4 linked regions of the Caenorhabditis elegans genome follow. The protein of the gene in region 3 purifies or fractionates together with the protein of the main gene of each other region. This does not show direct contact. Each region holds a gene or a part of one and is shown on either strand. Other genes may lie near its edges. The genes, in order: F13E6.1, asg-1, mpc-2 and nuo-4.

Evidence for each region.
Region 1: the proteins of mpc-2 (region 3) and F13E6.1 fractionate together in Caenorhabditis elegans (co-fractionation; one large-scale study listed by BioGRID). This does not show direct contact.
Region 2: the proteins of mpc-2 (region 3) and asg-1 fractionate together in Caenorhabditis elegans (co-fractionation; one large-scale study listed by BioGRID). This does not show direct contact.
Region 4: the proteins of mpc-2 (region 3) and nuo-4 fractionate together in Caenorhabditis elegans (co-fractionation; one large-scale study listed by BioGRID). This does not show direct contact.

The regions. Positions count from the first base shown.
Region 1 is NC_003284.9:10,675,108-10,679,032, forward strand, and holds F13E6.1 (D52 family tumor protein), read right to left. Parts: upstream 2,003-3,925; 5' UTR 1,995-2,002; coding exon 1,838-1,994; intron 1,781-1,837; coding exon 1,728-1,780; intron 1,674-1,727; coding exon 1,525-1,673; intron 1,188-1,524; coding exon 1,064-1,187; intron 996-1,063; coding exon 891-995; 3' UTR 605-890; downstream 1-604.
Region 2 is NC_003279.8:8,691,125-8,694,086, reverse strand, and holds asg-1 (putative ATP synthase subunit g 1, mitochondrial), read right to left. Parts: upstream 1,142-2,962; 5' UTR 1,140-1,141; coding exon 915-1,139; intron 868-914; coding exon 697-867; 3' UTR 619-696; downstream 1-618. Other genes in the region: K07A12.5 (Pre-mRNA-splicing factor SYF2), read left to right, coding at 1-34, 83-385, 432-594; mrps-15 (Small ribosomal subunit protein uS15m), read left to right, coding at 1,596-1,676, 1,728-1,791, 1,842-1,930, 1,976-2,195, 2,243-2,313, 2,360-2,524, 2,577-2,726, 2,805-2,957. UniProt on the Caenorhabditis elegans protein: Mitochondrial membrane ATP synthase (F(1)F(0) ATP synthase or Complex V) produces ATP from ADP in the presence of a proton gradient across the membrane which is generated by electron transport complexes of the respiratory chain.
Region 3 is NC_003279.8:3,825,624-3,828,772, forward strand, and holds mpc-2 (putative mitochondrial pyruvate carrier 2), read left to right. Parts: upstream 1-1,595; 5' UTR 1,596-1,613; coding exon 1,614-1,823; intron 1,824-2,174; coding exon 2,175-2,314; intron 2,315-2,362; coding exon 2,363-2,414; 3' UTR 2,415-2,522; downstream 2,523-3,149. Other genes in the region: unc-108 (Ras-related protein Rab-2), read left to right, coding at 138-420; F53F10.8 (Transmembrane protein 234 homolog), read left to right, coding at 2,627-2,818, 2,868-3,059. UniProt on the Caenorhabditis elegans protein: May mediate the uptake of pyruvate into mitochondria.
Region 4 is NC_003281.10:7,155,492-7,160,552, forward strand, and holds nuo-4 (NADH dehydrogenase [ubiquinone] 1 alpha subcomplex subunit 10, mitochondrial), read right to left. Parts: upstream 3,319-5,061; 5' UTR 3,313-3,318; coding exon 2,941-3,312; intron 2,896-2,940; coding exon 2,667-2,895; intron 2,619-2,666; coding exon 2,494-2,618; intron 2,446-2,493; coding exon 2,302-2,445; intron 2,252-2,301; coding exon 2,145-2,251; intron 1,590-2,144; coding exon 1,368-1,589; intron 970-1,367; coding exon 858-969; 3' UTR 535-857; downstream 1-534. Other genes in the region: rnp-7 (U1 small nuclear ribonucleoprotein 70 kDa), read right to left, coding at 3,662-3,851, 3,920-4,253, 5,048-5,061.

The sequences.
Region 1 (3,925 bases), on a different chromosome or scaffold from region 3:
AACTTGTCTTTCAATGCCTGGAGGTTCTTTTTTTTTGTGTTTTCAGAAAACATTCAGATTTTCATAAAACATTCAGATTTGTTATTAATTGAAAAATCTAAATCAAACTTTTCAAACGCTACAATTTTTCCAATTTTACCAAGATATTCACTTTTTCCATAATTAGTGTTTTTAGTCAGAAGTTCGATTACTACATGTTACTTGAAAGTACTAATTATCATTAATGCTGAAAAGTAGTTATTTAAAAAATTTTTTGACAGTTGTTTGTTATTTGTTCACTTCAGGTATCATTAAATATGATTTCTAACTAAAAGCTCAATTTTCAAAAATCTTGATGAATAGTGTTGAACCAAACAAATTCAAGTTTCAAGAAAATTCAAAACACTATAACTTACTTTTTGCATATCGTAGACCAGTAGTTGATTCAGTGTTATACATCTACTTGTCCATACCAAGAAGTCCCTGCGTCAGGCGGATATTCGATTAGGATATACGCTTCGATACCTTTCTTAAGCAACGCAGGTAGTAGTTTTATGACCGAGCCTTGGTGAATAAAACATAACTTTAATTTTATTTGAAAATAAATTTAAATTTTTTTAAAGTGTTAACGTTTTCCGATTTATTCATTTTTAAAACATAAGAAAAATAAATTTTTGAAGTAATGTTTAAACACAAAATTAATAAATAGGTATGAATACATGTGCCATGCGGATGCGGATTCAGAACATTTCAAAACATTATCGAATACTTTCAGCAGAAAAAGCCGCAATCATTCACAAAGTGGCGATATTAATGACAGGAAAAGAATAGAATGAAGAAAAGACGATTAGATTGAAATATCCCAGTAGTGACGTGTTTTTACAACATATTGGTATGTGAAATGAATGAATTTAAGAGATTGGCTTGGCCTCCTCCGCAACTGGGGTTCCGGTTTGACTTGGACCACGAGCAGCTCCCGCCAAATGATCAATCGATGTTGAAGCAGCCATCTTAGCCTGAAAGCCAAAAATAGTTTCATTTTAGAAACAAATCCAGATAATTCAGAAAAAATTGGAATACTGACGTTGTTGAGGGCAGAACCAAGTTTTGACTCGAAGGATTTGAACAGTGATGAGTTTCTCATGTCATTCCACTTTTCTTTAACTGTGTCAGACGTGGCGGCGGCTACCTCAGCGGTTTTTTGGTATCTGAAATTGTTTTGCATGTTATGCGTGCTTCAACATAAATTTTTTATTAACCATGAGCACTGTTGCCACAGTAATAAACTTTTAAGTATCGAACTTTTTTTTTTTAATACTATAAACTGTATATCAATATATTGCTTTCCATTAACGCAAGTTTACCTAACAGCATGCAAAATTCTTTTTTTTTCACTAGTCAGTATTGGTACTGTTTGAATATTCTTGGACAGTCGTTTAATATAATACATCGATTGTTTCTTTTTTTTTTGAATATTTATTTCAATAAAATGAGTGCACCTCAAAATTCCTTTACAGCTAAAATTTTTCTAAATAGAATACTTACGCGTCGGTATCGGTGACAGTTTTCAAGCTGCGGTTGATGTCCTGAGAGAGTTCCGAGAATGGAGTAAGTCCCAACTTGCGCTTGAGCTCGGCGGCGTGTTTTTGTCTGGCAGATAGGACTTGCTTCAGCGTTGAGATTTCTTCTTCGGTCTGAAATTGATGAAATTTAGTTCACGTTTTTATTTAATAGAAAAATAAACTTACCTTATCCAATTCAGTGCGCAAAAGGTCCTTTTCTGCTTGGGAGAGCACGATTTCTGAAATGTGTCAATTGTAATACTCATTTTCGAAGACATTTCTCTGATAATGCTTACTGTTGCTGCTAGAACTATCATTTTGTGGCAGTTTAGGCTCAACAGTCGGTTGTTCAATTACAACAGCATCTTCATCCGAATCACTTCCTTGCAATTCTTTTGCAAATTTTTCAAGCTCCTCTTTTTTCTCATTAGGTTTCTTGTTTCCCTTTGGCATTTTTCTATCTAAATTCTTGTTTACATTCACTACCAATCGCTAATAGAAAAACAAAGAAAAACGAACAACTACGGGGGACGAAATGAATATGAGTGAAAGGGGTTATAACATAATGTTGTTGAAATACATGATATTTTAAAATCAAAAATGTAGCTGTAACAAATATCAAAAGGAATTCCAAAAATTACGAGCTGTTTTCAAATTTTATCAACTAAAATTTTTTCATGTTAAACGCGCCTTTTTCTGTCAAAATTTCGAGCTCCTTGAAATTAAAATCATATTGCACCAAACTTTTATCATGTATTACACTATTCACAAAAGCAATTAAACATCTACTGAAAGTGGGATGGGCTAAAAATCTGGAAGCATATAGATGCGTAAGAAAAATTATTAACGATTATTCAGAGCGCGGATTAATTCGAATCTTGTAGTAGTTTTGGAGTTGAATTCACTTAGATTTCAAACAAATTTAAAAGAAGATATAAACGACAAAGATGAAAATGTTGGCGATCATAACAAAAACTGTATGAGGGAGAACAGGCAGACACTCACTAACACTCACACAGCGATACGTGTATGGCGGTCGCTCAAATAAACGACCGATCGATATCTGCAGCCCTCTTTCGTTTCCCCCCATCACTGTTTCTACTAGCCCTCCTCTTCACACACGGTCTCTTGTCCACTTGCCTCTGTTGTGCCCACTAGTCATATCTTATTAGTTCATCTATTTAGTTCAGTTGAAAGGGTAGAGTAAAGTAGACGTAATTCGACAGAAAAAATGAATGAGATGGGAGAACAAAGGCAATGAGACAAGGAAGGCATTTGTTTTTTCATCTGTTTCCTTGTATGGTCTTCTTTTTATTTTTTAGTGTGATAAGATAAACTTTCCAGCAAAAATTAAAGGTTTGGATATTAAAGCGGTTATAACAAGACTTATGCTACACAAGAAACAATTGCATGTCAGAAAAAGTTAAATACAGCAGGGGCAAAAACTTTGTTAGTCATAAAAATTCTTGTTTTGATTAAAAATGTAAAACTGTGGCCTGGCAGCTGATTAGTTTTCCAAACGGCAAAGTTACGAAATCGACTTTCGAAACGTCACTTTTCCCCATGCTACACAGAAGACATAGACTTTTCACCTACAAACAAACAGAAGGACTGTTCATACTGACAACACAATAGAAAAGGAAAATGGATGGGGTCACATGACTCAACTTAAAACCAATAAAATTGCAAACAAACCACAACACTACTGCATGTTCATTTTATGTGTATTATTGCGGGGGTGTGTTGAGCAGCGTCTCCTTCTTCTTTGGAGGGTTAGTTGGCTTCAAATGGATGACATGCCAAAATGGAGGAGAAAGAGAAAAGAGGAACATCGAAATAACGGAGGCAAGCAGTGTGGGAGGGTTCGAGTGGAAGAAGGGGCACACTTGCATAAATTTCAAAGAATCACGCAGAGTTTGTTTCGAAGTTGGAGTTTCAGGAAGGCAAAGGAAAATGCAACTCTTTTGTCGATATGACGCCAGAATTTAAGAAGATGAGCATCACAGCACAAGCAAATATGAATGACAGCTATTTTTCTTATTTTCTTGTTACTTCGAAACACATAATGTAGTGCACAAAAGGACGGATGACAAAAGATGACGGAATGAAAAGAGCACGCAGCTGAAGCCGGAAAATATAAAATTGGATTTTAGTGAACTGAAGGATTATGCTTTGAAAACGAAACAAACAGTGAAAATAAACCGATTCCAATTTTTTGGAATTATTTCAGTAAAAGTTTCGAAATTCTCGATTGAATTTTATTCCCACCTCGTGAAAAGTCTTAGAAAAAAGGACATCCAAGTTAAATATTATGTTATCAAATTTTCAAAAAAAAAACACTCCATTTAGTTTGAAAGATTAATAAAATAAAGAGCTTAATACAA
Region 2 (2,962 bases), 4.9 Mb from region 3:
GAAAGATGATTTATTGGATGGCAAAAGACGAAGAGTAATTTTCGTGGCTTGCATCCGTTGGATCTTAATATTTGAATTTCAGAGAGGATATGACGTTGGACGATGATCCAGAGGGAAAGTACACGGTTACTGCTGAAAAGTTGATTGAGACAATGACTGCTGGGGGGAAAGTTAAACATGCTGGAATAACAGAACCACCTAGCAACACAGCAAACACCATCATGTCCGAGTCCTTGGCATCAATTAATGCGAGATACAAGAAGAGTTGTGAAAGAAATGCTGTTTTCATGAATACCTTGCACGGTACTATTGAATTCAACAAGAAACAAGTATCTGTAGATAAAACCCTCTCTACAAGTTCAATAAGCCAGGATGATGCGACCGAGTAAGAATTTCGAAACTGATTTTTCTCTAACGAGTTTTATTTTTAGCGCTCCGAATCAAATCATTTTTGCTCCAACAATCACTTCTCATGTTTTCAAAGGCCGATCTCTGAAAAGACAGTATGCAGTGAAAAATAAGGCACTTGAAACTTTTGAGGAAGATCGGAAGGATTACACTCGAGAGGCTGGAGAAGAAACTAGTGGATTGTAATTTTTTGTATTGAACTAGAAAAATAAAGCCTTAATTTCTTTTATCTAACAAACGTTGAAGAAAAAACACATATTTTCACAAATGAATATGCTTATCGATGTATTAAGCTTCGAGGGCAGCGAGTCTCTTCTTTTCGGCAACCTTAGCCTTTGTATCCTTCGAGACATAATTGGCTGGAACAATGTACCCGAAAATGTAGCGACGTCCAATCATTTCTCCGACAAAGAACCAAAAGACTACCTCGAGGGCAACTGCCGAGTAGACGAGACTTTCCTGAAGTTATTTTTTATTGAGTGTTGTTTCAGCGTGTAACAAATTACCTTGATACTAAGGTTGACATATTGCTTGGTCTCAATAAACTTCTGGAGCTTAGCCCAGTCCGCCTTGATAGCTGGGATGTCAGCAGACCGGGGTGGAGCCAGCTCGTGCTTTCCAACAGCCTTGAGAATAGCGAGACGGCGTGGGAACTGCTGAGCTTGATGACGGTAAAGAGCTCCAAAGGTGTTGGCCAACTTTTCGAAGAAGCTCAGCTTGTGGGTCGCCATCGCTGAAAATTTCGAGTGTGAATGAGAGAATGTGTTTCGAAATTAATAAGGCAATAAAATTGGGAGACGAGGGAATCAATTATTGAATAGATCATTAAAATTTATTTGTTCCTTAAATGAAACTTAATAGAAAGGGAATAATGTTGCCCATGAGTGCTCATTCATTAAAAAAATCCCCCAAAATACAAGCAGCCCGTTTTAATCAAGACAGTAGTATATTTGAATCGTGGTGGGACCCTTTAAGCAATCGAGAAAGAAATCCTTGGTTTTTTTAATTCAGCGAGGCTGTCCGCAGTTGAGCGGCACGGTGTTTGCGGACTTTTACAAACCGTATCTCATTGAGTTCCAAGGCGCCGTGGAAATTTTTTTTGTTTTAATTTTCATGAATGATTAGATTAATTAATATTAAGTCAGTTTTGAACGGTATTTTTGTTCAATTTTCTATAATACTTTCAGATGATAAATCTTCGAAGATTTGTGCACACATCGTGTCGGCTGGAACGAGGAAGAACAGCGTTCTACAACGTTCATCAAAAAGTGGGTGGAAAAAAAAACAAAACTAGCCACAATTTGATATATCATTTTCAGGTCACCGACCCAGCCAAGCAAGATCCGGATTACTTTGAGAAAAAAGCGAGAGAACTGCCACTGGGTGAGTATATTCAAGTACCGAGATATATATCTCTATTAAGTGATTTTCAGATCAAAACTACATCGATGCACTTACGAAGCTTTACTACGAAAAAATTGGCAGTGAACGCGATTTGGGTTTGAAAGCAGCTGATAATTTGGTATGATAATCAAGAGTTTTATAGATATAAGCAATATTCTTGCAGATTCTCGAAAAAACCGAATTCGGATTGCCTCGTATTGAAAAATCGAAAACTCGTGCGAAATATGAAGATTTAGATGTTCTTTCGAATGCTCCAGAGTCTGTCAAAAAGATTTTTAGTGTTGAAATGGCGACGAGAAAAGAGTTGTCACAAGAATGGAAACAAAGTCTTATCAAATCAGTAAGGCAGCATTCTCTCGATGAAAATAGTTTGGAAATGAAAAGTTTGTTTGAGAAATAATCACAAAATATTATCTAAAATTAATTTCAGTTGCCTGGCTAACGGCTTTAATTCGGCATTGGTCTCTTCTTGTTAATGACATTGGACAGGAAACCAAAAAAGTAGTTTAACATTTTAAAAAGGCAATATTTCTAACATTTATTGCAGAAGCCAACATGGCTCACCCATCGAATCTGGCTCGTAATCAATGAACGCCGTAAAGCTCTTCGTATTTTACGTGAACGTAATGAGACTGCATTCGAGAAAACAATTGCCGCTCTGAAAATTTCGTATCATGTACCGAAACAGCCAGCTCATGTGAAAACTAGAAAGGTAAAGTTTGCAAATTGATAACTTTAAACACTAAAAAAACAACAAATTTCAGGCATGGGCCGAAGCACAATTAAAGTTGAGAGTTGAAAATGAAAAAGAGAAGCGATTGGAAGAATTGCACGAAAAGTACGATAAAGAAGTTGAAGAGCATAAAAGAGAGACACAAGAGAAGAGGAAAGCATTGAATAATGAATTGGATAAAGTAAGCAAAATATACACTTTGAAAATACCCTTTTTAAAACTAATTTCTGAAACGTTTCAAATTCAAACGAAATTTCAGCTTGCTCAAGAAATGCGCCAAATTGACGTTATCGAAGGAAAATCGTTTGAAACAGTTGGAAAGTATGAACCAGCTTTAATCTCTTCACTTACTGAAACTGTTATTCATTCAAATCTCTTCTATCATCCACCACCAACTATGACTGAAAAATAATCTCA
Region 3 (3,149 bases):
TGAAGTGTCAAGTTGCCTTTTGCAAAATTCAAGGATCGATTGTTCAAAAATTTCTCTACAAAATCGAACAATTTATAGAAATTTGGTTTTCCAAATAAACACATTTTTATTCAAAAAAATAAAATAAATGTTTTCAGTGACCTGGAAGCCCGTCGCGAAGTGAAACGTGAAGAGGGAGAAGCATTCGCACGAGAGCACGGACTCGTATTCATGGAGACATCTGCCAAGACGGCTGCCAACGTGGAAGAGGCGTTCATCGACACTGCCAAAGAGATCTACCGTAAGATTCAAGAAGGCGTGTTCGACATTAACAATGAGGCAAACGGAATCAAGTTGGGACCACAGCACTCTCCAAGCTCACCAAATTCTCCAGGTGGAAATGCGACGGGAGGATTGGGCGGTGGATCTGGATGCTGTTAATTTTTGATGATGTTTCTTTGAATGAGCTTTGAATGTTTTAACTAAATCGTTTGAATACCAATCTTTTTTATGTTTCCTCCTCTTTTCGAATGTCGTTAGGCACTTTTCTAGTCTCCTTTCTCTCTTCCAGAACCATAATTTTACTTTACATATATATTGCAATTGTCTCTTATTACTACCATCATTTACTGTATATTGTCGCCTGCTTTTTCTCTTTCTCCTCTCTTTCTCTATTTTCTCTCCTTTTCATTCAGTCTCTCACCAATTGTGTGAATATCTGAAATTCCTGTGATTTTCCACTCAATCCATCAGAACAACATGTTGTGAAAATCCCGCTCTCTCTCCCTCATTTCCTCTTAAAAGTTTGTATGTAAGCTCTACTTCTTTTTTCCTTTTCTAATTCTTTCCATTTAATTACTATACGTCTCCAAGCTATCAAAATTTTCAGTGAAATAAATGAATTTTATGAGCGTTTCGTCGAGGATGGAATATATTTTTCTTAAAGTTGAAGTTCTTTTTGATTATTTTCTACAGATTGATTGATAAAAGATTGAATTGATAAGAATATGGGGAGAGACGAAAATTTAGAAGAAATTAGTGGCAAGATTTTTTTTTTGGAAACTTTACAAATATGGTTTCTTAGAAGATGCGAAATTTTTCGATTTTCGTGCCAGAAGTACTGTACCAGGTCTCGACACGACAATTTTTGTTTAATGTGAAAAGGTGCGCGCCTTTAAAGGGTACTGTAATTTCAAACTTTTGTTGTTGAGGAATGTTCTTTTTTTCATGTGCTTTTATTGTTATATTTTAGTTTTTTAATCGAAAAAAATTAGAAAAATCTATGAAAATTTCTCAACAACGAAAATCTGAATTTACAGTACTCTTTAAAGGCGCACCTTTGGTTTTTTTTTGCAAAAAAATATTTTTCGCTTTTTTCGAAAAAAATGTGCGAACCTGTCGCTATAATTGAAAAACTAGCATTTTTTAAAAATATTCTTACCAAAAATAAAAATTTTTTACCAAAAAAAATCAGACATCGATGACTCTATTATGTTCTCTGAACATTGGTTAACTTCTGATCTCTTTGATATTTTTTCTTCTTAACAATTTTCTCATTTCTTCTTTTTTCTTCTCTTCGCAGATTTCGAAATCAAATTTAATTTCTTCATTTTCAGCCCCACAAATACACCTCAATGGGCCCACATCGTCTCCTCTACCAGGCTCTGTGCAAAGCCGGAGATAAATTTGTCTATCCGGTGCTTCCAGCATTCGCCAAGCCGGCTTGGAATCATGCGGCCGGTCCGAAAACTGTATTTTTCTGGGCCCCAACCATCAAATGGACTCTTATCGGCGCTGGACTCGCTGATTTGGCCAGACCTGCTGATAAGCTTTCTCTTTATCAGGTAGGGATTTGTGAAATTTGTTTTCTGGTCCCGCAGCGAAAACTGGAGTGATAATTTGGTGTGTGTGTGTGCCTTTAAGGTTACTGTAGATGTATTGATTACATATTTTTAGAGGTTTTTCTCGTTGTTTTCTTCTCGTTTGTTTTTCTTTTCAAAATGAAGATAATCTCTACAGTAACCTCAAAGGCGCGCGTGGCGAGACCATTCCGCATAAACGCGTCCTCCTTGAAACTCGTAGAGGTGGATACATGAAAATGAGATAAATTTCTAACTAATCTAAATTCTAGTGTTTTCTTCTCGAAAACTACCGAAAAAAGCAATATAATATGCATTAAAATCTAAATTTTTCAGAACTCTGCTCTCTTCGCCACTGGAGCCATCTGGACGAGATATTGCCTTGTCATCACCCCAATCAACTACTATTTGAGTAGTGTGAACTTTTTCGTCATGTGCACCGGGCTCGCCCAGCTCTGTAGAATTGCACATTACAGGTATATTCAAATTTATTCTATTTCCCTGCAATTATGTATAAAATTTAGGTATCAAAATCCGGATTGGGAGACGAAGGAGATCATGGAGACCCATAATTAAATCCATAATTTTTCAAGATTTAGGAACGACAACGAGTGATTTGTATACAGGCATACACAATACATACAATAAAGATTTATAAATATGAATAAAATTTGAATTTAAACCCTTTTCTTCGATATCATATGTGGATTAACTCTTAGAAATATTTTTATTTTTTAACACAAGTTGAGCTTCGAACTTCCCTAATAACAAAACACTAAGCTTCCTGAATGTCGGAATGCGGTGTCCAATGTATTCTATCAATAATCGTTGTTGGATTTGTGTGGGGAGCTACTAATCCATTGCTCAGAGCAGCCTCAAAAGATCTGGAGAACAAAAAGAATGGAATAATCCTGGGATTTTTGAAATCTTTTCTCAACTGGAGATTCTCAATCCCTTTCGCTCTTAATCAATCTGGATCGGTGAACAAAACACATTGAACAAGTTATATAGAATAACAATGTATTTTAGGTAATGTTCAACGCTCTTGTTGTAAACTTTCCTGTTACTGTTGTTGTTCCGTGTGTGAATGCGATTCAGTTCATCGCAACAATTACAGTCGGGTGGTTGATGGGAGAGAAAATGCAGGTGTCCACAAGGAAGCAGAAAATTGGAATGACCATTTCATCGTTGGCAATTATTGGAATGCTGATTATCGATTAAATTAAATGTGAAAAAAAACGTTATTTTCATGTAAAACGCACTTTTTAGACGGAAAAAGTCAAATTTTCAGCCAAAATTTTGCTGAAATTT
Region 4 (5,061 bases), on a different chromosome or scaffold from region 3:
ACACAGAGCACACACAGCAGTGACGTCATTTTCGACACGAGTCACTCGCGGCACTAGAGAGACTCTAAAGATTAAAATAAATTTTCAGTAGTACGGTAAAACCCAAACGTGGCAATATAATATGAATAAAACCCAAAGTACGCATAATTTGAAAAGTGTGCGTGGGGTAATAGAGAGAATAGAGAAGCTGTCCTTTTTCTCTTGAAAAAGAGCAAGTCCTCTTTTCTACATCGTCCTTTTTCTTCATCTTCTTCCAGTTTGTCTATCTTTTCTGCGTCTCTTCACTCTCAACTCCCCCCACTTTGTCGACCACGGGGTATCCCCGTTGGTCTTGTGAAAGTGAGATAGTATTGTGAATCGAGATATCACTAGAGAAACTGAAAAGAACCCCACGCGAGGCACAGAGAAACTTCTCCGGACACTCTTTGCTTTTTATTGTCTCTAGCCGTTTCTCTGCGTCTCCAGGGTTCCGGTGTATTCTATGAGGTGTGTGCTGGCTCTATGCCAAGTCAAGGAATCGAAAAAGCTTTTGAATTCCAAATTTCTAGTAATTTATCATTCAAAAAGGTGAAAAGTAAATAAGGAAAGTTCAGAAAACCAAGAACAAAAATACAAGTAAACAATAAAAATATAAAAACCCTTTATTTTCGCATTAAATTTTCTCTCGGATCGATTCTTCCTCTACTTACTATAAAATAAAAATATGAATACAAAAAAGAATTAACACATAATAAAAGGCGAACCGATTTGTGATTGAAGAATCAAATCGAAAACAGAAAATCGAAGACGACGACGACAAAAATCTACGAAATCTACTGAAAAAAAACAGCTTGGAGCGATGAGAATAAGAGATGGATTTAGTGATGATGGTGCACATAATCCGGATCGTATGAATCCGAATCCAAATCCAGCGATGTCTCGTGAGATGTCAAATCATCATAGTATGCCTCTCGGAAGTAGTATTCATACCTGAACAATAGAAAAATGTTAATTCGAAAAAAGAATTTTTTATAAAATTGAAAGTTTAGCTATACGGATTTTTAAAAAGTACAGCTTTAAAAAAAATCTTATGCTGTTGCTTTTGAACTTTTTAAAATGCAAATAACATAAATAAGAATTCAAAGGTGGAGACTATTCGAATTTTTGCTTCAAATGGTAGAAAATAGACCGTAATGTCCGAATATCATATATTCATGATTCATTTATGTGGTAATTCAAAAATAATTTTTAACATTTTTGAAAATTGAAAAAATTTATAATTTTTTTGTTTTCGGTATTTTCGGTTCATTTTCTATTACTTAAAGCAAATTTTCAAATTGACTCTACTCCACCTTCAAGTTAAATTTCAAATATTGAAAACAACTTACCATGGTTCTGGAAGATGGTGTCCAGTGTGCCATGCATTGAGTCCTGCTTGATGATCACCATTCTTGGCAATATATCCATAGCCATATGGTGACTTGAGAACCTCTTTACGCATTACGTGAAGGAAGTGTCCAGTATCACGTGGATTTGTGTACAGCTCTCCAACTTCGTGTTTTGGAATTCCATCGAATGCAAGCATACGGGCATCGTATTTATTGGTGACACTAGAAGATATTATATATTATACAATGTGGATGAAACTTTTAAAATTCAATTAAAATACTTTCTCAATGTTATATCAGGGCTGTAGATTTTTACGATATTCGTAAATCGTTTTTTTCGTGGTTTTTACAAAAATCCATTTTTTGCATTTTTTTTTCAAAAAAAAAACCGAAAAATTCTGTTACCCTGTCGCTGACTGAAAAACACATACTTGTTTGTTTTTAATTTATGTCTTTCAGTATATCAAAATTAAAAATTGTGTTTTTTTGCTCTTTTTTTTGAATAAAGCGAAATACATTTTTTTTGCTAAAAACACAAAAAAAACCAAAAATCTTTTGCCTTGATGGGGACACAATTTCGCAGAAATCATTTTCTGTCCATGTTTGCAAAATTTAAAAATAAAAAAAAAACAAGTTTTGGCCAGTTTCAATTCCTAGAATGTTAAATTTCCTAAAAATTTTGATGGCTTTTTTGTTGGTATTTTCAATAAATTAATCGTTTCGTTTTATCAATGAAAATGTATGATCTCGAATATATTTCTCAAAAAAAAAACTCACTATTGTCTCCATCCATTCCATCCAACTGAATCAACAATTGTATTCCACTCTTCCATAACATCACCACTGTGCCATTCAAAGAAGTCCAAGTCAAGTCGTTCGATATCCTTTAAAAATTATGTTTTTTTTCTTTTAAGAATTTCGAACTTTTCCTTACCTCAACAACAGCATCCGTGTCTCCTGGTTTTGTCCAGTCATAGGCAAGAATCTTCGAGTGATTACGGTATTCACGAAGTGAATCCTTGTAAGACTCCTCAATTGTTTTTAAGTAACGCTCGTCAACTGTTGCAATTTCGTCTGTCTGAAAATTAATAAAATTTTGAATATCTTTATGAGAAATCTAGCTTACGTTTCCTCGTCTCTTGATATTTTCAAGGCATTTATTGGTTGGTGTATTCAAATAAACAACCAAATGAGGCCAGAAATGTAGTTGAGGAAGAGCATTTTTACGGACAAAGTAATAATGCTTGAAGTCTAGAAACAATTATTTTGAAAGAAAATTCATGAATACAATAAACGTACATTCATGTCCAATATAATTCTTATCTCTCATTGCATTGGCAAAAACGAAATCCGAATGTGGAGTACGTTCGAGCACAACTCCTTGACCGGTATTGAGAATATGAGCAAGTGCGTTGAGATATTGATCGAAACGGCAGTTGAAAATGCGATCTTGCATGGCAGCTGAGAGTTCACCACTTGGATTCTTATAGAACATGGAAATGTCTGGAAGACGGTAACGAGCTGGGAACTGGAATAATATTACATTTAAGAGTTAGGTTGAATTATTATTTACTTTATTATAATAATTGCGAAGATCATTTCCGTAGCGATCGACGAGAATATCGTCCATTCTAAATTCTGGGAAATGAACGAAGCCGAGTTGATCAGCAAGTTGTTTGGCTAAAGTTGTCTTTCCGGATCCAATATTTCCTTCAACAACGATAAGCTTGGAATTTTGATGGAAATGAGAACGAGTGTCGTCTTTTAATCCATCAATATAATTGAATCCATTGTGCTTATAGTCCCATGGTTCTGGATGTTCAGATGGAAGTCTTAGAAGACTTTTATGAACAACTCCTCTGACTTGATTTGAGAGTGCTCCTGATCTGGAGCAGGCCAGCAAACCGGTTGCCAGCCCTCCCAATTTGCTCATGGAACCCGGCATGATGGTCTTAACAAGGAACAAGATAATAAGATTAAATTGGAAAATGAACAAAATAAAATATTAGAATAGGTTTGAAAACCATTAGAAATAAATTATTCTACAGAAAATATTGCAATTGAAGCTTTATTAGAATCTGCCCTCGAATAGTTGAACTTCTGAGCAGAAAAAAGTCAATAACTTAAAAATATAAATTAGAAGATACCGTTCAGGTTTGAAAAAGTGTTTAGGAATACAAAATGATTTGAGAGGACGAGATAGAAAGCAGAAGGAAAAATCGGTAAATTTCAGATCGAAGGATACAAAACAAACATAAAAGCGAGGAAAATCCACAAGGCCTTTGGTTTCAGAATCAACGGCGATCACCATATCGACCTCCACCACCACCTCCGCTACTTCCACCACCGCTTCGATATCCACCACCGGATCCTCCACCTGTACTGTATCGGCTTCCTCCACGGTCACCTCCTCTATCACCTCCTCTATCACGATCACCTCCGTATCCACCACCACCACTTCGATCATTGAAACGATCACGGCCTCTGAAAATATTAATTAAAACAAGTGAAGAAAAATACAAATAAGATGTCGAAATCTTATAAAAACTAACCCTCCACCGAATCCGCCACCTCCACCGCGATTATCTCTAAATCCGCCCGATGATTCTCGTCGATCACGATCATTTCCTCCACCATTACGGTAAGAATCTTGACGTCTATCCCGACTACCACTTCTTTCTCTATCTCGATCCTCGTACCCACCTCCAAATCCAGACGCAATTTCACGTTCTTCAATGACTGATTTAGCTTCGCGAGTTTTACGAGTATCTCCTTTTCCACCGCCAAGTCTTCTAGGCAACCATGTCTTCTGAGTACGACCTCTTTCATAGTCGACAACTAGACGTTTACCATCAACTTTGATTCCGTCAGCTTTTTTGTAAGCGGCTGAAAATAATACTCGAATATTATGTTCAATAAGGAATAAGGTGAGAGAATACGGATTTGTGTGTCTACTCAATAAATATCTTACCTAACCTACCAAAAAAGCGCTCACAGGCCTCCATGTCATTCGCGGAATTGACTACTTACCCAACCACTTACCCGCGATTCAGAAAATGTGTTAGACTTCAAACTTACAGACAAAACTTACGGGAAAACTTACAAAAAGCGGCAAGAAACTTACAAAAATAATCCCAAGATGATTTTTTTGATGTTTGTGAGGAAAACTTACAAAGCGTGTACCTTACCCATTCAAAAAATAAAAAAATAAATCTGAATTCTTGGATTTTTTCCTAATCTAGTAGCCTAAATGAAATTCAAAGACCTAGTACTAAAAAAAGAGTTTATATCAGAAATTTTCAGCTTAACAAATTAATAAAGTTTTTAAATGCGATAATATGCCTAAAACCTTTTTAGCAAGCGTGCAATTTTAAATAATGTTTTTTTTCTTGGAAAGACTCGTTTCTTAAAATGCTAATTCCTTTTTTTTTTAATTTCTTGTTTTTTATTTGAGCTCACCAACAAACAAACCTATCAGAAATTAATCGATAGGAGAGTTGCGCGCTCTGCCATTCCCATTCATTTCCCAGGATTTCACAATGGCCGCGTGGCTGTAAAAATTACAAAAATAGGAGCGTGTTCCTTGAAAATTGGTTTTTAAAATAAAATTTCTGTTGTTTTTTTGAGCAAAAGGTTCAGCCAATGATTTTTTGTTTTATGACAAACAAACTGCAACCCACTATGCATCTCAGCC